Cricetulus griseus: one gene and its partners. The protein of the gene in region 5 binds, or shares a complex with, the protein of the main gene of each other region. Links are inferred from orthologs where the notes say so. Each region holds a gene or a part of one and is shown on either strand. Other genes may lie near its edges. The genes, in order: Snrnp40, Prpf3, Lsm5, Usp39, Lsm6, Lsm3 and Lsm8.

Region 1 (3,500 bases), on a different chromosome or scaffold from region 5:
CTCGCACTACAAAGCAAATCCAAACCAGTCAAGCAACAAACACAACTATGAGCCAGCAGCTTCCATGTCAGTAACAAATACTGTCTCCTTCATGAGGAGGACCAATACAACACAATACTAATTGCTAAGGCTCTTTTTAATCCCCCCTTTCTTTCTTTCTTTTTTTTTAAAAGATTTTATTTATTATGTATACAACATTCTGCTTCCATGTATATCTGCACACCAGAAGAGGGCACCAGATCTCATAACGGATGGTTGTGAGCCACCATGTGGTTGCTGGGAATTGAACTCAGGACCTCTGGAAGAACAATCGGTGCTCTTAACCTCTGAGCCATCTCTCCAGCCCCTCCCCCTTTCTTTTTGAGACAGGGTTTCTCTGTATAACAGCCCTGCCTGTCCAGGAACTCACTCTATAGACCAGGCTGGCCTTGAACCCAGAGATCCGCCTGTGTCTGTCTCCCAAGTGCTGAGATTGAAAGTGTGCAACATCACTGCCCAGCTGCCTTCGAGTCCCAGGATCAAATTCAAGTAATCTAGTCTGAATGTAGATAGTTTAACTAGCTGAGTCCAATCACTGCTTCCCCAATGCATTTCATTTAATACCAACTCCTCCTCCCTTTTAGGGTCAACAGACACTAGCCCAAGAACAGCTTTGTTCTCCAAAGTTACCTGTATTGTCCATTGCATTGGACAAGAGATAAGATCCCTCAGAACTTAAACTCAGGCCGGTGACAGAATCTGCATGGCCTCTCATGGTATAGGTTAACTTGTTTTGACGCAGGTCCCAAACCTATAAAAACACAAAACTGCACTCAATATTCAAATTGAAAAACAGCAGAGAAAGGCCAGGTGTGGTGGTGCACACCTTTAAGTTCAGCACTCAGAGGCAGGAGGATCTCTGTGACTTTGAGGCCAGCTTGTCTACATAAGTGAGCTCCAGGACAGCCAGGACTGCATAGACACTATCTTAAAAAAGAAAGAAAAGAGAAGTAGAGACACGATGGCTCAGGATTCTAGAAGCAGAAGCAGGCAGATCTCTGAGTTCAAGGCCAGGCTGGCCTACAGAGACAGTTCCATTACAAACAGGGTCACATAGAGAGACCTTACATTAAAAATAACAGTAGCCGGGCGTTGGTGGCACACGCCTTTAATCCCAGCACTCGGGAGGCAGAAGCAGGTGGATCTCTGTGAGTTTGAGACCAGCCTGGTCTACAAGAGCTAGTTCCAGGACATCCTCCAAAGGCACAGAGAAACCTTGTCTTGAAAAAACAAAAAAACAAAAAACAAAAACAAAAACAAGGGGCTGGAGAGATGGCTCAGAGGTTAAGCGCACTGACTGTTCTTCCAGAGGTCCTGAGTTCAATTCCCAGCAACCACATGGTGGCTCACAACCACCTTGAATGAGATCTGGTGCCCTCTGCTGGCATGCAGGCAGAAGACTGCATACATAATAAATAAATAAAATCTTTATATATATATAAAAAAAAAAACCAAAAACCAAAAAACAAAAACAAAAAAACCCCAGCAATAAGAACAACAACAGCAACAAATAAATCAAACAAACTTGAGTCTGGGGAAAGGACTCAGAGGTTAAGAGTATTGCTGTACTGCCACAGGATCTGGGTTTGGCTTCCAGCATCACATGGTGATTCACAGCTATCTGTGACCCTAGGTGCAGGGGGTCCAGCGCCCTCTTCTCACCAACTCTGGCACCCGGCACACATGTGGTGCACATACGTTCATATACATCAAATAAAGTGTAAAAATCTAAAAAAGAGAAACACAACTATATATACCAGATGCCAGGCTTAGTGGTATATGTCTAAACCCAGCACTCAGGAGGCAGATGAAGAAAGAGTTTGAATTTGAGGCCAGCTTGAACAGAGTTCCAGACTAACTTGGCTATAAGGCCATCTCAAAAAAAAAAAAAAAAAAAAAAAAAAAAAAGCCAGGTGGTGGCTGCGCATACTTTTAATCCCAGCACTCAGGTGGATCTCTATGAGTTAGAGACCAGCCTGGTCTACAGAGTGAGTTTCAGGACAGCCTGGACTACACAGAGAAACCCTGTTTTTTTGGGGGGGGGATGCCAAGTGCACCCCTGAATTCCAGCACTTGGGAGGAAAGGCAGAGGGTCAGAAGTTCAAAGATACCCTTAGCTATATAGTATATTTGAGGTCAGAAGTCTCAAAAACAAAACTAAAGATCATCACTAGAGACAGAGGCAGGACTGCTGCAAGCTCCAGGTCAACCAGGGACAAAATCAGATAACTGACTTACTGAAAGTAATGCCCAAAATTATATAAAGTAAACATGAAACTGAAAACAACTAAGATTTTTCATCTTATAACATGTATATAGAAACAATACATATGTATGTATATGCATATATATATTTTTAGAAGAAAGAAAATGGAAAGCATGTTTAGGCAAAGAGTCCTTTGAGCCTCTTCTGGAAGACAGTCACAAGAGTATCTAGGAGTTCTGCCCTTCCCTGTTTGTTCATCACTGGGGTTCAAGTCCAGGGCTTTGTGCTCTACCACTGATTCCATCTCCAGCCCCAACAGTATATGCATGTCTTCTGTCTGTCTTTTGTATTTTTTGTGGTGGTGGAGATTGAGCATAGAGCCTCAAGCACAATAGGCAAGTGCTCTCTCATTGTGAAAGATTACAAGTAAGAATGCTTTGCATATGCCTGGTACATGGCAGGCTCTAAATATTATTTAGCAGTTCCTAAAATAACTCTAAAGCCAAAATATAAATATATTTACATAATAGGCGATTAAGCAAATATGTAAAAATAAACATTAAAATGAACAGAAATAGCCTGGATGTCACAAGGAAAAAGATTAGCAATTTTCTGAAGGTGATTGCTATTATAAAAGAAATTCATTTAATACTGCCATGTAATTTTTCTAAATGAATAAAATATATGATATCCCCTAAAGCATAGCACTTTCTTTTATTCAGAAAGGAGTTACGTGAATGTACTGATGTAAAAATTTGAATACTAGGGCTGGAGAGGTAGCTCAGTGTTCCAGAGTATCTGATGCATAGCATCCTTGGTCAGTTTCCAGTACCCACACTGGGTGGCTAGCAACTACATGTTAACTTAGCTCCAAGGGATCAGAACCCTCTTCTGCCTCCTAAAGGACACACACACACACACACACACACACACACACACACACACACACACACACAGAACCCTTTTATTTTTTATTTATTATTATTTGTTTGTTTGTTTTTTCAAGACAGGGTTTCTCTGTGTAGCTTTGGAGCCTATCCTGGCACTCGCTCTGGAGACCAGGCTGGCCTCGAATTCACAGAGATCCGCCTGCCTCTGCCTCCTGAGTGCTGGGATTAAAGGCATGCGCCATCAATGCCCAGCCCACACACACTTTTTAAAATACCCACTTTGAATCCCCTTAAATACAAGCCTACAATGCCAGCATTCAGAAGGTTAAGATGGGAAGATTGCAAGTGTGAGAACTTGCCACCCA
Region 2 (3,500 bases), on a different chromosome or scaffold from region 5:
CTACTCCTAAAACTTCAGAAGTGATAAGGGATTCTGTGAAAGATACTCACGGTGGAGCTATACCCATGGCATGGAGATTAGCCAGGCCCACCATGTTGGCATTGCCAATAAGCCCTGGCTTCAAAGCCAGCTGGGCTTGAATTCGGGCTTGTAGTTCAGCTGCTTTCCTTGCCTTCTCAATAGCATCATTCATAAAAGTAGCGGCCTGGGAGGGCTGAATAGTGTTGCCAATTGGAAGTCGCTCTGGTTGGGAAGAAGAAGGTGTCTTTGGCTATAAGATAAAGATTAAAAGAAATCCAAGGGTTTGAAATAGGCATACAAATATATACACACCTTGATAGACTATGGTAGGTAATTGTGGCACTTTCTGGATTCTCATGTGAACGAATGACAACAAATCTTGTGCTAAATATTCTTTCAGAATAATCTGAACACAATACCTGAGGTGTAGGGGGGCTAATGAAACTCAGTTGTTTCTTCCTTTCCTCAATTTGTCGTGTTGCTGCCTCCATCATCTGTTTGATCTGTTCTCCAGAGGGAAAAATTGGAAAAGATCAATTTCTCCCATAAATGTTCCCAATGAAAATGCATTCAGTTCTAGAGACCTAAAAGTTTGTGAATGTTACACACACCCACTCACCCCCCACCCCCCCCACACACACCCCTGCACCTTAGAGAAGAAAATTCAGTAAAGAGTAAGGCAATGCTGGTTCACGCCTTTAATCCTAGCACATGTGAGGCAGAGGCAGGTGACTCTGAGGCCAGTCTGGTCTACCAAGCGAGTTACAGGACAGCCAGAGCTGTTACACAGAAACCCCCGTCTTGGGAGGAAAAAAAGAAAATTTAGCAAAGATAAGCCTATAAGATTAAGTGAGCTGGAGCGACGGCTCAGCAGTAAAGAGCACTGGCTGCTCTTCTGAAGCTCCTGAGTTCAATTCCCAGCAACTACATGGTGGCTCACAACCATCTATAATGAGATTTGGTGTCCTCTTCTGGCTTGCAGGCATACATGCAGGCAGAATACTGTATATATAATACATAAATCTTTTAAAGAAATAATTTAAAAAAATTAAGCACTACAATTTTTCAATCTTTCCCCCCAAGGTTGGACTGGTATATTAGGTAGTATACACCATTATGGTGACTGAAACTCAGGTAGTGAGTTTCGAACTGTGCCACTTCCTGCCTGTATTACATTGGATAAGGTTATGAATATCTTAACCTCCCAAGAATCTAAAAGGGGGGAAAGTAATGTATGCACACTTCCTACCAAATTACTACACAAGTGGGGGCAGGGTTGGAGAGATGGTTAAGAGCTAAAACACCAACTGTTCTTGCAGAGGACGTGAGTTCAGTTCCTAGCACCCACTCAGTGGCTCATGACCATCTCCTAACTAGTTCTAGGGGATCTGACACTTCTAATTTCCACAGGTTCCTACATGCACATGGTGTACATACACATACTTAAGCATGTAGACATAAAATGAAATATGCATTATTTTTAAAAAAAACATGTTTACCAGCCAGGAACGTTGGTACACACCTTTATCTCGGTACATGGGAGGCAGAGGCAGGCAGATCACTGTATGAGCCCAGTCTGTTCTACACACAGGGAATCACAGGCCAGCCAGGCTAAATAGTAAGCCTTGTCTCAAAAAATAATCATGCTATCAGCAGATCAATTTCTACTGTAGGTAACCATGGAGAAATGGTGCCAGCCTCTTTAGAGTTGTTTCTATAAACCCCTTGTTGTTTCCTAATGAAGTTCAGAAAGAGTCCTTGACTCTTAGGACATAGTCAAGTCTAGTGCTATCATTTCATTTAATTTCCCTGATGATAAAGTAGACAACTGGGTAAACAATGATGTACACACTAGGTATTCAATACATACAATTTCAATAATCCTTAGTTGGACTATTTCTGATCAAACCAAGGACTGCTAGAATATAAAGCAGGAAAAACTTCCCCAAATGGTTAACACTAATTCAAATGAAGATCACAGTGAACATGGACCAATGTTTTTTGTTTCAACTCACAACATCACTTTGCTTCTTTTAACTAACCTGGAGCTTTGTTAGCATGCCAGGGCTTTCTGATGGAGGCCCAGGGATCACCTCTGGCTCCTCTTCTACTTCCTCAAAACGGGGTATTCGCCGCTTCTTTACCCCTGATGATTCCTTTGAGATTTCAGAGTCATCACCGAACACCTCCTAAGGGAACCCAAGATGAAAGAAGAATCGTATCCCTCCCTAGGGAAAAAGGGAAGAACCATCCCGACCCTACAAGTATCCTGTGTTTTCCCAGGGGAATATGACACAATCTTTCATACAGCTTTCAAAGGGTCTTCTAGACTCTCCACCAAGTGGACCATTTCACCCAACTTCACCAATTTCCTACCCCATTCAAGCAAATTTCATCCCCATGTTTTTATAATGTTCCCATCTCAAGATCTTTGCCAATGCTACTGCCTACATTGAAGTGATCTTCCTCTAAATCCTTTCCCATAAATCCTGTCTAAAACTCACCTCCTCCAGGAAGTTTTGCTCATTATCATCTCATCCCACTCTGATCAACTGTTCTTCCACATCCTCTTAAGCACTTACAGCTTGGTTCATATTAGATTACATTATATTGCTGACACTGTTTGCCAAGTGTTAGGTAATACTTTCTCCCAATTAAAATCTAAGTTCTTTCAGAAAAGAGGCTTTTTCTTTTTTAGTATTCCCCAATAACATTTCCTTCTTATCATACAATGGGAACTCAAATATGTTGACTAATTTGCAAAATGAATTTAATAGGACCAAGAGTGGCCAACTGGAGGGACAATGGGAAAAAGCAAATGTACACACCGGTGGTAGGCTTTGGGTGACATCCCCTCTTCACTAGGAGGGCTCGTGTTTTGCAAGGACATATCCTCAGCCAGGGGCGAGCGCTTCCTGGAACTCCTACAGTTCAAGAAAAAGGACTCTCCCATAATATATTGTGTGGAGTGGGGACTTGAATGGACCAAAAATGGGACCCATATCCCATGCTATCTAGATTCTCCCTCAAGAAACCATTTCTACTATCCCACCCAATGTTGTCAATGCATTCAGAGCGTGAGCTTGGCACTTACAGTGGCATAGTACTATCATAACATAATCTTCAGTGTGGTGATCTGTTTGTGAACTAATCATACCTCTTAAGGTTAACACAAGTCTGAAATTCTATAATCAGTTCTAACTGTTACTCAGGTTTTATAATCTGTGGCTGATTTACTGCAACTCCTCACTTTTAAATTGCAGACTAATTTCAGGTAAGGACCATATCTGATTTCTCTAATCACCCTATGCTGTAAAAACCAAAGGGAAAGGAGTTTCTATATAGAGTCTTGAACCTATAATGTGGCCCCAAGCCCCAGGCAGTCACTACTTATCTTTTTGTGTCTCAGGACCAGCAATTGATACCGAGGTATCTAAAGCACTTTAGAGTGAGTATGATGGTGCGTGCTTAGAATCTTA
Region 3 (4,300 bases), on a different chromosome or scaffold from region 5:
ACTATCATACCACCTAAAACTCCCCATGTGCTCCTCATGGACCAAAGCCACCACTGTCTCTCCCCTATCCTTCAATTCCCATTTCCCAGATCATCAACATCTGCTAGTAATCCCAACATTAATTGATGCTTAAGAGTTTCAACAATGGTTCCTGATGAACTAAAGGTAATAAAGATTAATAAGCAAATGAATCTTAAGGCCCAATGCTCTTTCAATAGCTGCGTTGGGGCACTGATCACTGAAGGCTCCCTTCCCATCCTCAGCATGTCTAGACCGTGAACACTGAGCTAAGCAGCAGTGTTCTGTAATCCCTGCCCTATAAAAGTAATTAAATTCAAAATAAAACAGCTTTAATGTCTTACCATCGTTATATTATTTCCATTTAGTAAAATCTGATCTAATTTTGTAATCCTTCTTCCTTCTGGTGTAATTTCACTAAATAGATAAAAAATGGAGTCAGGATAAACAAGTATTCAAAGGCAATTATTTTGGAAACGCTTTTCCTCTCTAAAAATTATTCCTGGGGTAAAGAGGTTAGCTCGGTGGCAGAGCACCACCTGGGTGGCAGAGCACAAGGCCCTAGGTTCAATCCCTAGCATCAAAACTGTTATTCTTACATATGAATGAATGTGAACTCATACAATTACAATAATTTTCAGCAATACAGTCTGCCCACCAGATAATAGTTATGTAAATATAAAACTTCATAAATACAGAAGTAAATATAAAGATATATTACAAAGATATAATATAGAAGTAAATGTAAAGTCACTATAAAGCGTGTTTACACTAATTTCTTAGAAATTCAGGAATAATGACATTAAGATAATAATCTTCTGGCCCAACCTCACAAATACCGGTAAATAAGTCAGCATTAAAAGAATTCCAACAGGTAATACTTTATCCATCATACTAATCCTGCTATTGTAGTTTAAATGAAAATGGCCTCCACGGGCTCACGTTGACAGAACTGTTTGGGAATGGCTAGGAGGAGTGGCCTTGTCTGAGGTGTGTCACTGTGGCGGTGGGCTTTGAGGTTTCAAAAGAATAAATTATAACCAGTTGGCTCTCTGTTTGTCTCATGGTTATCTCAACATAGAATCACTTAGCTATTGCTCCAGCCCCACACCTGCCTGCCTGCCTGCCTGCCTCCACACACCTCACCATGAAAAAACGTGGACTCTAACCCTCTGAAACTGTAAGCAAGCCCACGCAGTAAACGCTCTCTTTTATAAACTGCCTTGGCCATGCTGTCTCTTCACAGTAACAGAAAAGGAACTAGGGTACCTGCCTTTAATTCAAAAAGATATTTCCTCCTCTCCTCCCCCATTTATTTGTCATTTTTAATACTACTCACAACTCTGTGACATCTTCCAACACCATATCTGAAATTTGTTGTTAAGAAAATAAACAAGGTTGAATTTATTCTGGTTTATGTTTTTGTTTGGTTGCAAAAATGTTCAACACAATGGTGCAAATTCAAAAGGTTTGTTGTTGGAGAGAACCCTATCTGCTTTCTGCAAGCACACCTCTTAAAATGTTACCAAGTTCCTGGAAAATAAATAATTTTTAATGTAATAAACAGAAATATGTCATCTGTCTACAGCTCTTATATTAATACATCTTTAAAAACCTGTTCCATGAACACTTTTTAAAAGGATACTGACAAAGTCATCAAATCCTAGAAGTGTACCAACAATTTCTTTATCACTCTTCATCACAATGTGAATTCTTGATCCTATACACTTGTCCACGAGCTCTGTGGAAAGAAAAAGATTGTTTTACCCACTTATTAGTTCAACAAGCATTCGAGTGCTCACTTTACTATTTCCGTATCATTAAAGAGAAACAAAAAGCAGTCACTAAATAACTACATCTTACACAAATCTCCGCTCAGCCATTAGCACAAATGTTTGTCTTGGCCTTCGCTTACCTCCTTTTTTGCTGCAACTAACGGGACTGTGATTTTGACTATTTGGTTAATGTATGAAAAACAATTACACCACAAGGTGGAAACCATGTTAGTTTTTCCTCATCAGTGTTTCTGCCGATGAACATACCCTGGAGTGGACCCTGCAAGAACTTTCCATCATTGCCACATTGACTAACTTCACCGGCGCCAAAACATGACAGAGGAGAGGCCTCACGACCGACACCAGCTTCCTGTCACTTCTCTCATCTTGCCTTTAGCTCTGTGCTTGGAGACCAACCTGAGCATCTCCGTGGCCAACCGAGAACTGCTCGGCACGAAGTCTTTCAGTGTGCTATCTGAAAGCAATGGCCGTAGTTTAAATTCGTTATTCAACAGTACCCTGGCACGGGGAGGGAACTGCTTGATGGATGGATGAATGAATGAATGAACGAACGAATGACGGAGCTAGTCTCCAGATTTCTTTCTAGGAGTCACTGTAGACCGTGGCGCCCTCCTCACACCGCCAAATGCAATACAGGGGCTCCCTAAGGTGTAGACCGGAAAGGCCACACTGCGAGCTGGGCCGGCACCGGGACATCTTAACCGGCGAGCTCACAAGCAAGGCCGAGGGCGTCCTTCACCAAGTGGGGCCCCCGCCGGCCGCCGACAGACAACGGGCTCGGTCTCCGCAGCGGCCCCAGGGGCAAGCCTCCGGCGCGGGCGTGGGGCCGCAGCAACCCGCCCGCGCCCCGGGCGAGACTTTTACCTAGCGGCAGGAGCTGAGACGGGTTGGTGGTCGCGTTAGCCGCCATGGCCACGCCGGAAGTGGCATAGGGCTACGGGCGCAGACTTTAAAAGAGCGCGCTTCCGCCCTTTCCCACAACTGGCTCAGACGGAACTAATCGGAGGCAGATCTGGCGATCGCGGGGTATCCAAATGGATCACCGACAGACTCGATAGAATAGTTCCGCACTATATCGGTGCCACCATCCCGTGCCCCCGAAGTTTTGCTAACTTGACAGTTTGTCTCCTCTATATCTGCCTGAAGACTACAACATACGAGATCTCTGAGTCGGCTAGTTTTCCTCTAAAAGGTTGGATCTTTCTTCAGAGCCATAAAATCAATGAGGATTTGCTATCACCAACTCGTTCTGCGTTTGTCTCAACTACTACTCATTTTCTTAAGGAATCCTGTACTTTTAAGCCTAGAGTACTGAAAACCCTTACGAAGCATCTTTTAAAAATATTCTATACCGAGTATTCAAAGGTTTTTTTTAATTTTTGCTACTTTATTTTATTCTGGTTTTTCGAGGCAGGGTTTCTCTGTATTGTTTTGGGGACTGTCCTGGAACTCGCTCTGGAGACCAGACTGGCTTCGAACTCACAGAGATCCGCCTGCCTCTGCCTCCCCAATGTTGGGATTAAAGGCGTGCACCACCAATGCCCGGCTTCTTCTTGTCCTTTTAGAAGTCTAGTTTATTGCAGGCTTTTGCAGTTACTAACACTTATTGATTTACAGGTAACTGCTAGATGTCACTCCGTATGTTGGTGTCATCACATTTGGAAAACATGCTATCACACTTGTGTTTTGGAAAAAGATAAAAAGCTGCTGTGAGGAGTGGCCAGCAATCCCAGCGCTTAAGAAACAGAAGGAGGCCACAGTTGCCAAGCATGGACAACTTAGTAAGACCCTGACACGAAATAGGAAATAAAAACTAATGAGAGCTTAACCACCTTGCTTAGCACTAGAGTGCTTTCCTAGCATTCATGACTTCATGAGACCTGGGTTGTCCCTACTTAAAAAGAAAAAAAAGCAGCAGGCAAATTCTTTAGCTTCGGTTGTCTCATTTGTGTCTGAGGGACTTAAACAATCTGAATAGGAGAGATCATAATCAACACCATTCATTTTTACAGTGTTTGGTAAGCACCCCTCATACACCGTTTAATTAGCAGCTCGCTGGGTATATAAAGCAATGTACAGAAAAGTCTTCTACAAGAGTGAGTGAGAAGAAGGACAAATAAATTGTATGTATATAGCACTATGAAGTTTAATAGATAAAGCAATGCCTCTAGGGATCCTTGGAAACTCCACTCCATTCTCAATTTCAAGCCAGTGGTGGCTTTTCCCCACAAACCCCATTCCATAAATCTCGTGTACCTACTAGGTGTCGGGGCAATTACAAATACATTCTTTTATTTTGGTTTTTCAAGACAGGGTTTCTCTATGTAACAGCCCTGGCTGTCCTGGAACTCACTTTGTAGACCAGACTGGCCTTGAACTCACGAAGATCCACCAACCTCTGCCTCCCAACTGCACAAATACACTCTTTACTGCCATCCTTTGAAACAAGAATCCTGATTAAGTTCCTTGTGCTTAAAGAAGTTAAA
Region 4 (3,500 bases), on a different chromosome or scaffold from region 5:
TATGGAGGCAGCTTGGTGAGCTGGAAGCGCTTCAGGAAGTTCTCCTTGTAAGTCTTGTATTCCTGGAAAGAGTTTGGTGACATCAGTGCCAGCATTCAACAGGGGCCTGAGCTTTGTTCTGGTTTTTAAACATAGCTCTGCATCACACCTAGAGATCAGAAGACACCTAGTCCCAGAAATCACCAAAGAGGCTAAGATCAGCAATGTGGCAAACACTGAGTAAGATATAATGGGTTGCTTCAGTATATGATCACATTGCTAGAACCAAGGCTACATAAAGAAACCCTGTTTCTGGGCTGGAGAGATGGCTCTGTGGTTAAGAGCACTGACTGTTCTTCCAGAGGTCCTGAGTTCAATTCCCCGCAACCACATGGTGGCTCACAACCACCTTGAATGAGATCTGGTGCCCTCTGCTGGCATGCAGGCAGAAGACTGTATAGGTAATAAATAAAATTAAAAAAAAAAAAAAGAAGTATGTAATTTAAAAAAAAAGAAACCCTGTCTCCAAAAAAAAAAAAAAAAAAAAAGAGTCCAGCATCATCATGATACTGCCCCAACAAATTGCTACTGAGACTGAATTAAGGGTAAGTGCCCATATTATTTAAAAGACAAAACAAAAACAAACAAACAAAAAGAGCAAACTAGACAAATTAAAAGTAATTGTTGGAGCTGGAAGTGGTGGCCCATACTTGTAAGCCAGCCCTTGGATGGAGGAAGGACAATCAAGAGCTCAAGGCTGGGGCTGGAGAAATGGCTCAGAGGTTAAGAGCACCGACTGCTCTTCCAGAGGTCCTGAGTTCAATTCCCAGCAACCACATGGTGGCTCACAACCATCCGTTATGAGATCTGGTACCCTCTTCTGGTGTGCAGATATACATGGAAGCAGAATGTTGTACACATAATAAATAAATAAAATCTTAAAAAAAAAAAAAAGAACTCAAGGCTGGTTCTGACCACACAGCAAGTTCTAAGCTAACTTGGCTAAATGAGACCTTATCTCAAAAAAAACAAAACAAAATATTTTTTTTTAAGATGAGATTTCTGTATATCTTGAGTTTCCAAACATCTAAATTTCCTACCTTTCTATACATTACTCAGAGGCAGGCAGGAGCCATGTAAGAAGGGGCTCTAAAGTTAAGAGTTAAAACACCAGAGAGGCTGGGAGAATTGAAAAAAGATTAGATTAAGTATATGATATTTATGTGGTGATTCTGAAATGTAAAAAGACAAAGAAACTGAGGAGTAACTAGTCTGTAGAGCACTTGCCTTCCACTTCCGAGGCCCTGTTGTCAACACTGAAAAGAAGGTAGGATGCTGGTGATGAGAAAGTTAAAATACAAACCAAGAGAAAAGGGCAAGGATGGTAATTTGGCTACCTTCTCGGTGATGCCGTTGAACTTGGCCAGGATGTTGAAGAGCGGCACCTGGGGGATAATGAGCTGCTCCTTCTCATCCTTGTAGAGTGGGGCAGTGGGAAGGTCCAGTGTCAGGTACATGAACGTGGACTCCACCATTGTCTCTTGGTACTCATCATTATGGAGCAGCTGCTCTTTCTCTTCCGCTGGCTAGAAATAAATGAGAAGACAAAAGAGGAGAGGATTGTGAACAGAATGAAGCAAACCCACAGAAGACACAATGCTCGCACACATCTTCCCTAGTCCAGAGCCCAGGCAGCTGTATTCAGAACCACTGCCTGACAGTATTAATTAAAAAAATGGCATGTGTGCACATGCCTGTGGTCATGCAACTACAAAGGAGGAGACCTTCAGGAGGGGAAAGAGGGTAATGGAATACATAGGACATGAAGCAAAAGGAGGAACTATTTGTGGAAAAGAAACCTGCCAGGAAGAGGGCACTGAGAACAGCAGAGGGCAATAAAAGAGGGTGATTGGGGCTGGAAAGATGGCTCAGTAGTTATGGACACTGGCTGCTCTTCAAGAGAACCTGGGCTTAATTCCCAGCATCTACATGGCAGCTCAACTGTCTGTAACTCCTGTTCCAGGAAATCTGATACCTTTACATCAATTCACATAAAGTTAAATAAATTATATCTTAAAAAAAAAAAAGAAAGAAAAAGAAGTGTAATGACACATGTGTTTGGAAACACCACTCTCAAACCCGTTACTTTATAGGCCAACTTTTAAAGAAAAAACGAATTGCTTTCCTCTTTGGAAGGAGTTTATTTATACACCATACTATTTAAAAAGTTCTCCAATTACACAAGAAGCTCAGCTGAGCCTTCGAAAAACACACCAGTACCACTCATCGGTCAACCTGTTTCAACCAACAGACTACCAACTACAAAGGCTGAAGCTCACAGTCCATGACCACTATGGGCACAGAACCAGCCCTCAGTAGGTGCTTTGTGAACTCCTTTGTGGGGTTCATTCTGTCTGTTCTCTAAGTTCCTGCTTCCCCAAGCCCCTCAGGAAACATGTATCAGGCTAAAATTCTGTCCTGGACACTCACCAGATCAGGATGAGGAAGCTTTTTGGTGAATATTCTCATTGACCCCTGGAAAACATCAGTCACAATAGCTGTGCAAACAAAAAAAAAGCAAAGTACAAAGTCTTTGAGGCCAGAAAGCATGTCAGAACATATTCCCAACCTGTAAATTTCTGGTATAAACCACAACACCCTAACAGTGTAAGACTCAAGCTCTGCCTAAGCACAGAAGCTTCGCTTGGTAACATATGTCATCATGGAACCTACATAATTATTTCTCTAAGTAATTACATTTTATCTCCTCTACAGGACACTCTTTCACCATTGGGCTGGGTCATGAAAGGGGAAAATGTACATTTGAAATGAATGACTTACACAGCTTAAAGACAGAATCATTTTAAAAAGAGAGAGACCTGGAGAGATGACTCAGAAGCTTAGAACGCTTGTTGCTCTTACGCAGAGAACTCAGGTTTCGTTCTCAGCACCCACATGGTGGCTCAAAACCATTCCAGAGGCTCAAACGCCATCTTTTGATCTTTGACCTCTGAGGGAACCAGGCACCTGTAGAAAGTTAAGGCCTACCAGGCCAAGAGATAAGCTAACCTGGAGCTCACCTGGTGCTGTCGGAGGTCCCTAGCCAATGAGAGATGACCACATGATGTCAACGGATCAGAATCCAGGTGCTCGGAGGGTATATAAGGTTCTCCCATTGCTAAATAAACAAGTCTGTTGTTTTTCCTCTCAACTGACTCCTAGTGTCTGTACAGTTGACTCCTCGCCTTCTCACCCCCTCCCACAGGAAGCCATTAGGACCCAGCAACAGGCACCCACATGGTGGCTTGCAACCGTTCCAGAGGCTCCAATGCCATCTTTCACCTCTGAGGGAACTAGGCACCCACATGGTACACATAGCAAAAAGCAGGCAAAACATTCATACTCATAAAATAAATAAATCTTTTTTTAAAATTCAGTCAAAACATCGAGTAGAAGTGGGTGTGGCAGTTCTCAGCAATAAACTTAGCACTTGGAAGGTGGAAGCAGGAGGATCAAGAGTT
Region 5 (4,065 bases):
CTACAAAGATGCCTGTTCAGACACAGATTGCTGTAGCTAACTCAGCCAAAAGGCTGTCCTTTGCTTTTTGTTTTTATTGCTTTTATTCATTTGTTTTATTTAGTGGGGCAGGGGCAATAAGCATATGCCACAGGATAACTTTTGGGAGTCTGTTCTCTCTTTACACTAAGTGGGGTTCAGCAATTGAGTTCGGGTTGCCAGGCTTGACCATAAGCACTTTGACATCAAGTTGCCTACGGTAATTCCTAAGAGCAAGTTGTTCTCAACCAAAGGTGATTTTTGTGCCCCACCCTCTAGGAACATTTGGAAATGTCTACAGACATTATGTATTGTCAAAGCGGGAATCAGACTCTAGTGAAGAGAAGCCAAGGACATCCCTCAACAGTCTACAGTGTAGAGCAGTGGTTCTCAACCCTCCTAATGCTGCAACCCTTTAATATAATTCCTCATGTGTGGTGACCCCAACCATAAAATTATTTTCATTGCTACTTCATAAATGTAATTTTGCTACTGTTATGAATCATATGTAAATATCTGCTATGTGATCTCCATGAAAGGGTCTTTCATGGACTCGGCCCACAGGCTGCGAACCACTGGTGTAGAGTCTAGTCCTTTACAACAAAGGACTATATGATGCAACGTGTCAACTCACAGAATGACTGCCACTACCACCTCCTCCCCTCCTCTTCAAACCTTATTTTCTGGTTTAAACAACAAGCAAGGTACTTTAGAATAATCAAGATGTAAATGAGAACCAGATGATGAGTACATAAACTAGTCACCTCTCCTTATCTGTGTATCCAGCCAACATCTAGTAACATGAAGTTGCAATTACAGCTCCAATGGTTTTACCTGTTACAGAGCTAAAGGGCTTTTCCCTTGTCATTACTCCCTAAGCAATATTCCATTGCAACCATTTACATCCTATTACACATTGTGAGTGATCTAGAGATGATGTGAACAACATAGGAAGACTGCATAGGTTATATGCAAACACACATATGGAACTTTGAATATCCATGCACTTTTTAATATTGGGAGCTCTGTACCCAGTCCCTCTCAGATACTGAGGGACAACTGTCTTACTTATCAGGAGTATTTTATCCCAACACTGAGAACCTGAAAACAACCATTAAAATCTTGAATGGGTTGGCATTCTAATAAATTTCTAGTTCTGGACACACAAAAAAAGTGACTTTTCTATTTTCCAGTCCTTCATTATAAAAGGAGAAAGCAAGCCAGGGAATTAAAAAAAAAATCAAATAAAAAAAATTCTATTAGGCCACCCTTCAGTGAGAGAAGACCTGATGCAGTAGTTAAGGGTACTCACTTGGGAGGCAGGTAACCTGTATTCTAATCTCCTCTGCTACCCATCTCACCTCTCATGGCCCCAGGCTCATCTGAAAAATAAGGGAGTTATGCTAGATGGTTACTGACTATGTCTTTCTGTTCCAGCATCTGGTTAACTTGTGCAGTAATACCAACACACACACAGTTAATACCAACACACACCGCACACACACACACACACACACACACACACACACACACACACACACAACACACACACACACACACAACACACACACACACACACACACGGGGGAGGAGGAGGGGAGAGACAGGAAGGGAGGGAGGAGGGAGGGAGGGAGGGAGAGAGAGAGAGAGAGAGAGAATACCAGTAAGCACGTGGTTAAGTTGTGCAGTAATACCAACACACACAGTTAATACCAGCTCTCTCTCTCTCCCTGCCCCTCCTACGAAGATTCGGCAGGAAAACCTTGATGGCAGAACGACAGGCATTACAATAAAAAATAACAATGCCTGAAGTAACCCCGGAACCACAACTGCTGGAAGATCCAAAGTTCAAGGCCAGACTGAGAAACTCCGTGCAAGTTTAAACGAGATCAGTAACGATTCCAAAGAGAGGCTGTACTCTGCTACTGTTAGAAACACAGGAGGCGTGTTCACGGATTTGGTGAAAGAACCGGTGTCACACACGAACGAGGTAATTTACTAACACTTTAAAGAGAACCAACCCGGCAACGTGCAAGAACTATCTAACCCAATGACTTCTCCTCTGAGAACTTGTCCAAGGAGATGGTGAGAAATAGAGTCAAGGGCGGGAAGTGCATCCCAGGATCGCATGGACGCTAAGATGAAGCCATCGGGGAAACACCGGAGTCACTTATGGGACCCAGGCAATGACAAAACAAAAGCAATGAATGTTAAAGTTACACCTGGCTGCATGTGTTTAACGTAGACAGAAGACCGAGTATTTCTGGTAGTACTAGCGGAAAGAGAAGCAGGCACACACAGGAGGAGAGGAGTGGGCAGACGGAAGCGCCCAGCAGGGATCCTTTCCCCGGCTCCTCGTGTCCTCGTGTGGAGGGACTCGAGCGCGCACGGAGGAGGGGGGCGCGGGAGCGGCGGCCGCCTAACCCGGGCTGACACAGCCGGCGCCCGGCGCGCGCACGGCAGGACCGCACGGCGCGGGAGCGCGAGGCCGCGTGGCCCTGACGGCCTTCCGCTGCTCGCAGGCCGGCCTGGGCTCCAGCCGCAACCCCGCCCGCCCCGGCCCTCCGCGGCCTAGGCCGACCGCTCCGCTCCAAGCACCCACCCGCCCCACCGCCCCTCCCTCCCGGGCCGCGCGCGGGCTCACCTCGCAGCCGGATCCGGAGCCCTCACAGGCCGGGCCTCCGCGGACGCGCGCGGCGAAAACCGAAACCGCCCCCGGCAGCGCGCTTCGCTGCCTCACCCAATCAGCGGCCTCCTTGCCTACGGCAGCCCGCGGGGACCAAAAGGATCAGGCCGTTCCATAACGCTCACTTCCAAGAATTGGTTTCTTCAGTGGTGAATTCAGCATCCAGGGGCTGAAGTAAATGCCGGTGTTCTGATGTTGCCGTCTTTTTTTTTTTTTTTTTGCCAGAAAATCGAATCAAAAGCAAAACAACCAAGAAAAAAAATTTAGAAGTAATCTTTTGAGATTCCAATACAGTAAAGAATACCTTAAAAATGACAGGAAACAGAAACTTACGATTAAAATAATAGGCTATTAAGTACCCCAAATAGCCTTAAATAATTTAAAGCAAATAAAAGTTAAAAGCCTCAAGCTCCCAACCGACTTCTGAATATTAATTAAATGTATGAAGTTTAAGTTACTGTTAGAGATTGTTTCCATAGCAATTTTGCTACAAAAATATAAATAATTTAAAGCAACTCTATTACAATGGCGCCAATTGTAAAAAGACATTACAAATTAGTTTAATTGGAAACAGCATGCAGATACCATTTAAGTGCTGTGGGGGAACTTGGTTGGGGATAATGCATGAATTCTTAGTGTATGCTGACTGTTTATGGAAGGAAGAGATTACAGGAAGACTTGATTCCTTTTTTTCTACACCCATGCTCTCATTTATATTTTACATTTATATTTTAATTTCTCTTTTATATTGTATTTAAGATTTATATTTTAATTGTTTCTGATGTTTAATCATCAACACAGTTATAAGACCTTCAAACAACAGCTACACACCCTGTTAGATCTTACAGGTCCTACAATGCAGAACTTTTTCCTGAGACAGAAAGTGGTTCCTCCTTTCCTAAGAGCCTCTTAGTGAATGGCGAAAGAAACAGACCAGTGACTGGTGCCACAGACAGAGAACTGGCTGAGATTTGGTAAGGAACAGCCATATCTTTCTATCCTCTGTAAAACCTCAGCTGACTCGAAGACCGTCAACTACAGACATTGATAAGACAGCATTTTAGGCTCTTGAAATGTAAAATATAAAATTAAGAACACAAGTAAAGTCACATTTAAATCAAATAACTGTCTGCAGAGAAGAAAAGTGCTATGCCCTGTCCCTAAAACAGGCTGCTTTGTAAATCAAACTGGAAGCTGAGGATTTGGCTCAGTTGATGGCATGCCTGGTGTGCATTAACATCTCTGGCACCACAGTGGTGGGCACAGCAGTGCACACCCAAGTGTGGCTTCAGGAGGATCAGAAATCCAAGCTCATTTGAGGCTACAAAATGAGTTTGAGATCAGCTGGGCTATTTGAAACC
Region 6 (4,214 bases), on a different chromosome or scaffold from region 5:
CAGTTCTGGGGAATCCAACACCCTCATCTATTTAACATCTGCAGGCATGGCCCACACATTGTGCACAGACATGCATGCAAAAAACATATGCATAAAATAAAAAAATAGTAAAGTGTTTTTTCAGAGATGTAAACAAGAGAAAGAACAAAATAGGTTAAGAAGGGAAATGAGCTTTGTTTTTATGAAGCTTACATTGTACTCAAACAATCAGAAATGAAGATGACTGTAGAATGATAGGTGAATAGGAACATCACTGTGATTCTGTGGTGGAGGATACCTAGGAATGACTACTTTAAGATGACCGTGGAATGTCTTAGACCTCAAGTAGAGAAGAAATTAGACCCAGCAACAGCGACGGAGAACATTCTAAGGCAAAGAAACATGGAAGGCCAAGCCTCCAGATAAATAAACAGTATATTCAAAGAAGAGAAAGGCAGTCACCAAGAGCCATCTGTAATCCCTGTGATCATGAGGATGAGACAGGAAAAACCCAGAGCTCTAGGCCGGGCTGCTGTTTAAAATAAGAATATCTGGAAGAGAGACATGCTAAGTGAGGTAGATGCTATACACGGAGAGCACACATCTAAGAAGGTTTTAAGTAAGAAGACCAAGGCATATGAAGTTTTGTTGTCGTTCTACATCACTTGGCTGCTGGATGGAGATCTGATGTAGAGGGGAACTCACTCAACTAGAAAACGACAGGAACAGGATACCAGCTATGAAATTAAGAGAATTAGGCACATATTTCAGTGACTCCGAAGCTGAACTGGACCTCCTGACGAACTAGCAGTTAAGAAAAGGCGTGTTTTAACAGGTGGGTGAAGGAGTGATTTATTGAGATGGGAATATTTTAAGCTTCTCCTTGGTTCAAGACCAAGGTAAGAAGCGCATCGCAAACCTGGGGCCGGAATTACAGTGGATGCAACTTGGAGAGAGATTCTCACACTACAAGGTCTCCCTCTGTCCTAGTTTTGGTGTCTCTCTGACACCGGGCAACAGGGAAGCTTTTTCCTGATCGGCCCTCAACACTTGCCAAGAGGCTGGACTTGGTCCTAGGGGTTACGGTGGGGTCAGGGCTGATGGTAGAGGCCCTCGGGGCGCCGCGCATCCGGCCGTGGAGACCTTCCGCCCCGCTGCCCGCCCCAGCCTCCGCCACCATCGCCTTGCGCGCCGCAGCCTCTCACCCGCCTCGCTCTCCTCCGGCCGGGCTGCTTTGTTGTTCTCGGCTTCTCGGCCGCGCCCCCGCCGCCTTCCTCCCGCAGGGCGCTTCGGAGCCATGCTGCCCGGCAGCGACACTCCGGGCTACCGCAGCCAGCCGGCCGCAGACACTCTCCGCGTGCTCGCCCCGCCCCGAGGCGGGCCATGCCTGGGCCGCGCCCCCTGACCAGGTTGGGACCACGCCCTCCGGAGAAACCCCTCCCCCTGCAAACTACAGGGGCGCAAAGGGACAAAAATAAAGTAGGTCTACTTCCCGAGAGTGGAACCCTTTGCGTTTCTGAGTGCCTGTTCTCGCGAGAGGTGGAAAGGGCGCAGCGTTTGAAACATGGCGGACGACGTAGATCAGGTAAGTTTGTCCGGAGGCGCTCTTAGAGGAAGCGCTTGCGCTTCCAGGTCGGGTTCGCGTTTTCCACGCTCGCTGAGAAGCGGCCCGTCTCTCTTTGTCCCGAGGAACCACGGCCTTCCGTAGCCGCGCCGGCTCCTGAAACTTCCGCAGGCCTAGAGTTTTCTCAACCCGCCTATCTGCCCATCACGCTCGGCATCGGCTTTTATCTGTAAAATGCAAACGGCTGTCGACACCAGACAGAAAGCGTGAGGTAGTGGTGGACACCAGCTTTGTAATACGTGCAAGCGCCTGGTGCGCAGGCAGCGGCTCACTTGGAGTGCAGTAGGAGGGAGGGAGGGAGGTAGAGAACCTGGTGGAGATGTAGTCTGGAGAAAGCAAGCCAAGATCGGGTGCACACAGGATCACAGGCTGCCCTCTTCACCTGCTCTTCCCCCTATTCCTTAGCTACCTGTGGAGTTCCGAAATGATTGCACTCCCTCACACGCACACGCACCCACACACGGGTATTTAAAATAACAGAGCATGTTATTTTAAATATGTATTTCTTTATCTGAGACATTTCTTCCATAACTAGAACGTAAGTTACTTAATAGGGGCATTGGGGCGGGGGTGGCTGGAGAGGTTGCTTTAGGAGTTAAGAGCACTTGTTGCTTTTGTAGAAGACCATGGTTGGGATCCAGCACCCACATGTTGGCTTAACAGCACCCCAACGCATCTTAACTCCAGTTGCAGGAGGGGATCCTCTGCCCCCTTCTGGCCTCTGCTACCGAGCACTGTGTCAGCGTGTGGTGCACATGCATACAGGCAAACTGCTCACATACACGATAAAAGTAAACCTTTAAAATAAAGGGGGGTTTTCTGTGTTTGCTTTTCTTTCCTAGGTTTAGGACAGTGCTGTTAGCACTCAGCAGGTTATTAGTTGAGGGAACGAACCCAATGTTCAGGGGCAGCTTCTTTGAAAAGGCAGAATGTAAAGCTTACAGGGTGAAAAGGATTGACAGTGGCCATCCTAGACTGAAGAGGGCTGTCGTGGGAACAGATTTCATTGTTTTGCAGCTATGTATTTATATGCCCCTCTCCATACTAGAGTGAGCTCCATTGAGGGGATGCGGCTTCTGTATTGTTGTAATCCAGTGGTTGGTTGTCTGATTTCTTAACAAAAGCCTGCTGAGCTAAGGTGGGAGGAGGAAAGCACCAGTTGAGATCCGGGGTTGGGGGTGTTCTGGGAGGGTTGTTTGTTTCCTGTCATCAGCCTCATATCTACACAGCCTACAATTTTCAGCTTTCACTGACCCCAGGTACTCACTGGAGAAGCTTGCTGAATGGTCTTACTAATTCTTGATGGCTGGAACCACCTCTTTCATATAGCTGAATCCAGGTCATCCCAGTTCTAACCTTTGAAACCTGTTCCAACAGTTCTTGAAGAGTAATTCTGATTTATCATTCCTCTGAAATGACTGACCAAGAATGCATTCTTAAATCTTGAAGCAAGCAAGAGATTATATTAAATATAAGAAATTACAGGTGCTGGGAGTGGGGCTGGTAAGATAACAGGTAAAAATGCTTGCAGTTTGTAAGCGTGACAACCTGAGTTCAATTCCTGGGACACACAGAGGAAGGAGAGAACTTTATAAAGTTGTCTTCTGACAGCTACTTGAACCCCATCACACACACACACACACACACACACACACACACACACACACACACACACTCTTAAAAGTTCCAGACTCGGTTCATACCTGCCCAATCCCAGCATCTGAGAGGCAAAGACTTGCTGCTCATCAAAGGCTGTCATGGGCATGCCTCTTAAAAAAAAAAAAAAAGGTAATTATTTAGAAGTGTTTCCTTTTTACTTCAGATAGACCCTTTAGTCCTTATAAGATCTCTGAGGCAAAGATGTGGTCTCCCCAGTTTGCAAATGAGGAGTCTGAAACAAGAAATGGCATGATTTTTAATCCCAGTTCAGAAGAGCCAGGTCAGAACCCAGAATTGAACAAAGGCTTCCTAATGACTCAGTTCTTTTAACTTCTATACTATACTACTCGGTAGGTAGGTTCATCTTGCCAGCCAATTAGCACCCTAAACTTAACCTGCGCTGTACTGACTTCAAATTCTGTCAGATCTTTTTAGTAGTGTGTGAATAGGTATTGCAGGTATGTTTTTCAAATGATTGAATTATACAAAAGATAAAGCTAAGGTTCCTAAGTGGTACTCTAACACTTTGGATTTTTTGGAAGTTCAGTCATCATTTTGCTACTTAACTCCTCTCCACATAATGTTTTTCTCCTCTTTTACATAGCATCGAGGCACCGTTCTAAGCTTTCATATGTCATTTAAAATAATAGTATTGGGGAGACACTATTTTCTGCATTTGGCAAATTAGACTAAGGTATAAACGGGTTATGTGACTAGCCCTTGGTTTCACTGCTTAACAGTGATTGAAACACCACTCTGCCTCTGGTGGTCCATTACTAAGTGTGTTTCCTTCATCAGCAACAGACTACCAATACCGTAGAGGAGCCCCTGGATCTCATCAGGCTCAGTTTGGATGAGCGAATTTATGTGAAGATGAGAAACGACCGAGAGCTTCGAGGCAGATTACATGTAAGTCTTTTAAATTATCTCAAAACCAGATGTTTCCCTATCA
Region 7 (3,996 bases), on a different chromosome or scaffold from region 5:
CAAGGACACCAGCTGCAGCAAGGACCCCATTCGTTTGGGAACAAAGGAGTACCCACTTTCGACTGAGGGGTGTTTTTAAAAGGGAAAATTGTAGGGCTGGAAGCCCCAAGATTACATAACTTCAGTAGTTACACAGGACAGGACAAAGATTGTTATGCTTCATGCAAGGTTTAATTAAGCAGGATACTGCAGAGGAAATGGGTTTGTTAATAGTCTCCTGGGCTGGGGACTTCTACAATTGATAACTATCTGATCCTCTTTGGACCAGAGGAATGTGAGTGCCATTCTAGGGTGTGATATCTGGTCTAAGGGCTTGAGTCCTGAGGCCCTTTGTTTAACCTTGTCTGCTGGACTGCTTTTTGGGAACTGAGTTTTCTTTTTGGGCTTTGGAGTCTGGGTTTTAGATTTTATTAATTTTCCCCTTTCAACACACACTAAAATTTTAAAATATTGGTTATGTACGGTTGACTGACTAACACATTTGTACAGCATCTAAGTGAAATCAGATCAAGAGGAGTTTAAGTGACTTTACAACAGGGACATCAATTATCAGGGATAGAATTAGAACCCAGCCTGGTGCTTAGTTTACGCTTTCCTCTAATCGGTCCCTTCAGAGTGGCAATGTAGACTTTCTTAATTACAACTTTCATCCCCAAGAAAAGCTAAGCCTCGATTTAGCCGTGCAAAGTGACCATCTATCGCGCACACCTTTCCCTCTCTGGAGTTCGTTTCCTTAAGGCTGCTTCGTGACACCTGAAGAGCCAAAAGCAGAATGCACGAGCACTTTTGATAGCTGGGCTCTCCCTGGAAATGCACCTCGTGCGGGCTACAAAGACGTTCGCTTTGCACCGCGCCATTTGTCTTTCGGAACTTTTTTTTGGCTCGCGCTGGAGAAGGCTAGAGCTCCCTTCCTCCCAAGGACGAGCAAACATCTCATCTAGGGCGTCTCCGGCACAGCCGATCTTCCCACACGACCGCGGCTCCCGCCCCTCCGCTGGCGAGCCTCCCAGCGCCTGCATCCAGCCCACACTTCCGCCCGTCCCCGCCTTTGTCCGTCTCCCTCTACCGACCGGCACCCGGAAGCGCGGCGGATGCACGCTGCGCACGCGCGCGAGTCAGTCCCCGCCCGGCTTCCGGTTTGGTCGGCTCCTTGCGAGTGCCGATTGGCTGCTAGGTACTCGTTGGTCTCGCGGTATCTGTGCTCACCGGCGGGCGGGCGGGCGGCGGGAACCGGTACGTGCTTCTGGCGGCCCGGCCGTGTCTCGTCTCCTTGTTGCCGGGTTGTCTCCTGTTCCCGGGACCTCCGGGCCCAGCAGCATGACGTCTGCCTTGGAGAACTACATCAACCGTATCCTCGGGCGGCTGCCCAGGCCGCGGCGGGGCGGGGCGGGGGCGGAGACCCGGGGCGGCGGGGAGGACTCGGGGTTCGGGACCGGCGGTGGGGTCATCCGGACAGACCCGGGCCCTTTTCACCCGGCACAGCTTCCCTGCAAGGAGCCTTTGGCTGGATTGCTGCAGATCCCTTAGGGCTTGTGCGGGCCAGCGTCGGGAATAAGTTGGACCGGTTTTCTCAGGGCTTGCGGTTGGCTCGAGGCTCGCATGCATAGAAAGGTGCTTGGTTCTCCAAGGTGAATTTCGGGCCCCCCCTGGAAGTGTCCATGCGATACCCTTAGAAGGAAAGCCTGGAATCGTGTTGGGCTTCAGTGACAGGCAAGGAGCTCTTAAGATCCCAGGTGAGATTTTAAATTACAAGCGCTGCTGCAAAGTCAGGACAGAAACCGTGCACCGAGCACATCTGGTACAGACAAGAAACTCAGGCGTTCAAAGCAGAGAGCTTTTAAGGAATCCAGGGTTGTTTGTACTTGGTGGCATTAATTATGACCAGGTCTTGGACTAGGGGAGGGGGCTTAACGCGCCACAACGGTGCAACATTGATAGTTACGCGTCCAGTTTTTATTTCAGAGGTGAAGACATTGGTCTGAGAAAGGAAGGGATTGTATCTCTCAGTGTTAGGGATTGGAACCCATTGCTGTTTTAAACCCAGGGTCAGATGTCAGACTCTACCCTTCTCCCATTAGATTTACTGTTTTCAGGATAGAATTGAAACAAGTTTCAAACCTTCAGTTTTGTACCTCGTGAGCAGCGGCTGTGTCGAACCTTCATACCGCCACTTTTTTCTTTTTTAAGTAATTGAGACCATTTCCTTACCAGGCTGAAAGTTTTCACTCTGCAATCTCTAAGAAATACTTTCCTTGACGCAGTTCTCAGGAACCGTCGCCGTTATCACTTCTGATGGGAGAATGATTGTGGTGAGTGGCATTTTCAGTCTGCTTCTTTGTAGGCTTATTGATTGTAAATTTGAAGTTACGTTTCTAATCTAATGCTGAGGTACCACGGTATAACCTCGATTCTAGTGTTCTTATGATCCAGCTGTTTTATTTTTTTAAGAATGTTTAAATTTAAAGTACACAGTGTTCTGCCCGCATGTATGCTGGAGATCCAGCTGTTTTGACAGACTTTTATCTCTTGGCTGTCAATACAGCTTCCCTAATAAACCTTGAAGTCTTCTGATCTGGAATGCAGAGCTGTGCCGACTAATTTTCTTCTTGCATTCTTTTTTTTTTTTTTAACCTCAATTCCTTTTGTTTGTTTTCATTTAGAGCTCTTTAAGGATTTACAAATTATGCATATGCTCTTGTAAGTTGCTTAACAATGGGGAGATCCAATCTGAGAAATGTGTATTCAGTGATTTCATTGTTCTTCAAATATTGTGAGAGTGGTTTCAGAAACTAAGTTAGCTGTGACTTCACTGGGGTATGATCTTTGGGACCATTGCCTCATCTACTGTCTCTGCAATATTTCTTTCACGGCTGTAATTTAATCCCATGTTTTCCCATTCGTGATTTTGTTTTCTTAAAGATTTATTTTTAGTTAGGTTTGAGTGTATGTCTGTTTGTTAGTGTCTGCCATGTGTGGTGGTACACTACACAAGGAGCCCAGAAGAGTTGTCAGATCCACTGGAGCTGGAGTTACAGGCCATTGTGAGCCACACTAGGTCCTTTGGAGGAATAGTATATACTTTTAACCATTTCTTCAGCCTCCTTATCTTCTTCTGAATCCCTTTGATTCTTCTTGCTCTTTAGTGAGCAACACCAGTCAAAGTGATAGACTGCCATAGTAATTGCAGTGCTTATCATATGCTAGGAATTTTGTGTTATTTAGTCTGCAAGGAATCTCAAGAAGAATTATCACTTATATTGTAGATTAGGAACCAGGCTTAGAAAAAAAAAAAAAAAAAAAAAAAACCAAGTTACTTTCACAGAGATTCAGTATAACAAGTGTGTTATAAATTGAGTTTTATTCCAAAACCCATAAAGGAAACAGGTGTCTTAAGGTTTTTTGTTTAGTGGTGGTGAGTTTACACTCTAAATTTGTCAACAGTAGGCAATTTGGAATGTGAAATTAGGAATATGTTTGTTTAAACATTGAAAGAAGTCTGTTGCATTTATCAGATAATTTACAAATAACTGATTTTTGAAATCCTCAGGTTTAAATTTCTTATATTTCTGTTAGAAAATGCTTATAGAAGAAAAGCTAAACAGAAACTTTGTATTGACACTCAGTAGTTCTGTCTTTATCGTACCTGATAAAATAATTGCATATATAATGAAGATGAGAGCACCTTTATAGGGGTTTATGATAACTACCATTTGCCAAGTGCTATAATAAATAGTCTAATTTGTTTTTCTTCCCAATTTCTACATTCCAAGTTTCTATTTATTTCATTCAGATTCTATACAATTATGGTTTTTCAGAACAGGGGGGTTTAAAGGTGTACCCAAGAGATTAACCAGCCAAATCTAAAAGAAGCTATTTCTTCAGAAACTTAAACAGCATTCATTATATTACATTTTGCTATAGCCACAAAATTTTTCCTGAGTATTTCCTTCAAGTTAAGTTCTTGATTATTTTGGTTCTACATATGTCTACTATATT

What was found.
Region 1: Lsm6 (region 5) and Snrnp40 share a complex: the UniProt entries of both Homo sapiens proteins name them as parts of the U4/U6-U5 tri-snRNP complex. The link is inferred for Cricetulus griseus from reciprocal best matches to the Homo sapiens genes LSM6 and SNRNP40.
Region 2: Lsm6 (region 5) and Prpf3 share a complex: the UniProt entries of both Homo sapiens proteins name them as parts of the precatalytic spliceosome. The link is inferred for Cricetulus griseus from reciprocal best matches to the Homo sapiens genes LSM6 and PRPF3.
Region 3: Lsm6 (region 5) and Lsm5 share a complex: the UniProt entries of both Homo sapiens proteins name them as parts of the precatalytic spliceosome. The link is inferred for Cricetulus griseus from reciprocal best matches to the Homo sapiens genes LSM6 and LSM5.
Region 4: Lsm6 (region 5) and Usp39 share a complex: the UniProt entries of both Homo sapiens proteins name them as parts of the U4/U6-U5 tri-snRNP complex. The link is inferred for Cricetulus griseus from reciprocal best matches to the Homo sapiens genes LSM6 and USP39.
Region 6: Lsm6 (region 5) and Lsm3 share a complex: the UniProt entries of both Homo sapiens proteins name them as parts of the precatalytic spliceosome. The link is inferred for Cricetulus griseus from reciprocal best matches to the Homo sapiens genes LSM6 and LSM3.
Region 7: Lsm6 (region 5) and Lsm8 share a complex: the UniProt entries of both Homo sapiens proteins name them as parts of the precatalytic spliceosome. The link is inferred for Cricetulus griseus from reciprocal best matches to the Homo sapiens genes LSM6 and LSM8.

Annotation. Positions count from the first base shown.
Region 1 is NC_048595.1:22,668,699-22,672,198, forward strand, and holds part of Snrnp40 (U5 small nuclear ribonucleoprotein 40 kDa protein), read right to left. Parts: intron 791-3,500; coding exon 670-790; intron 7-669; coding exon 1-6. UniProt on the Homo sapiens protein: Required for pre-mRNA splicing as component of the activated spliceosome. Component of the U5 small nuclear ribonucleoprotein (snRNP) complex and the U4/U6-U5 tri-snRNP complex, building blocks of the spliceosome.
Region 2 is NW_023276806.1:60,657,867-60,661,366, reverse strand, and holds part of Prpf3 (U4/U6 small nuclear ribonucleoprotein Prp3), read right to left. Parts: intron 2,946-3,500; exon of another isoform or gene 2,850-2,945; intron 2,211-2,849; coding exon 2,064-2,210; intron 525-2,063; coding exon 441-524; intron 272-440; coding exon 51-271; intron 1-50. UniProt on the Homo sapiens protein: Plays a role in pre-mRNA splicing as component of the U4/U6-U5 tri-snRNP complex that is involved in spliceosome assembly, and as component of the precatalytic spliceosome (spliceosome B complex).
Region 3 is NC_048601.1:84,604,289-84,608,588, reverse strand, and holds the start of Lsm5 (U6 snRNA-associated Sm-like protein LSm5), read right to left. Parts: upstream 2,801-4,300; 5' UTR 2,725-2,800; coding exon 2,679-2,724; intron 1,760-2,678; coding exon 1,664-1,759; intron 1,386-1,663; coding exon 1,358-1,385; intron 436-1,357; coding exon 363-435; intron 1-362. UniProt on the Homo sapiens protein: Plays a role in pre-mRNA splicing as component of the U4/U6-U5 tri-snRNP complex that is involved in spliceosome assembly, and as component of the precatalytic spliceosome (spliceosome B complex).
Region 4 is NC_048601.1:64,058,663-64,062,162, forward strand, and holds part of Usp39 (U4/U6.U5 tri-snRNP-associated protein 2), read right to left. Parts: intron 2,538-3,500; coding exon 2,470-2,537; intron 1,566-2,469; coding exon 1,377-1,565; intron 63-1,376; coding exon 1-62.
Region 5 is NC_048596.1:154,693,812-154,697,876, forward strand, and holds the start of Lsm6 (U6 snRNA-associated Sm-like protein LSm6), read right to left. Parts: upstream 2,801-4,065; 5' UTR 2,663-2,800; intron 2,260-2,662; exon of another isoform or gene 2,241-2,259; intron 1,401-2,240; exon of another isoform or gene 1,331-1,400; intron 1-1,330. UniProt on the Homo sapiens protein: Plays a role in pre-mRNA splicing as component of the U4/U6-U5 tri-snRNP complex that is involved in spliceosome assembly, and as component of the precatalytic spliceosome (spliceosome B complex).
Region 6 is NC_048601.1:52,288,973-52,293,186, reverse strand, and holds the start of Lsm3 (U6 snRNA-associated Sm-like protein LSm3), read left to right. Parts: upstream 1-1,414; 5' UTR 1,415-1,543; coding exon 1,544-1,564; intron 1,565-4,060; coding exon 4,061-4,171; intron 4,172-4,214. Other genes in the region: Xpc (DNA repair protein complementing XP-C cells), read right to left, coding at 1,185-1,278. UniProt on the Homo sapiens protein: Plays a role in pre-mRNA splicing as component of the U4/U6-U5 tri-snRNP complex that is involved in spliceosome assembly, and as component of the precatalytic spliceosome (spliceosome B complex).
Region 7 is NW_023276806.1:207,804,434-207,808,429, reverse strand, and holds the start of Lsm8 (LSM8 homolog, U6 small nuclear RNA associated), read left to right. Parts: upstream 1-1,196; 5' UTR 1,197-1,317; coding exon 1,318-1,348; intron 1,349-2,268; coding exon 2,269-2,309; intron 2,310-3,996. UniProt on the Homo sapiens protein: Plays a role in pre-mRNA splicing as component of the U4/U6-U5 tri-snRNP complex that is involved in spliceosome assembly, and as component of the precatalytic spliceosome (spliceosome B complex).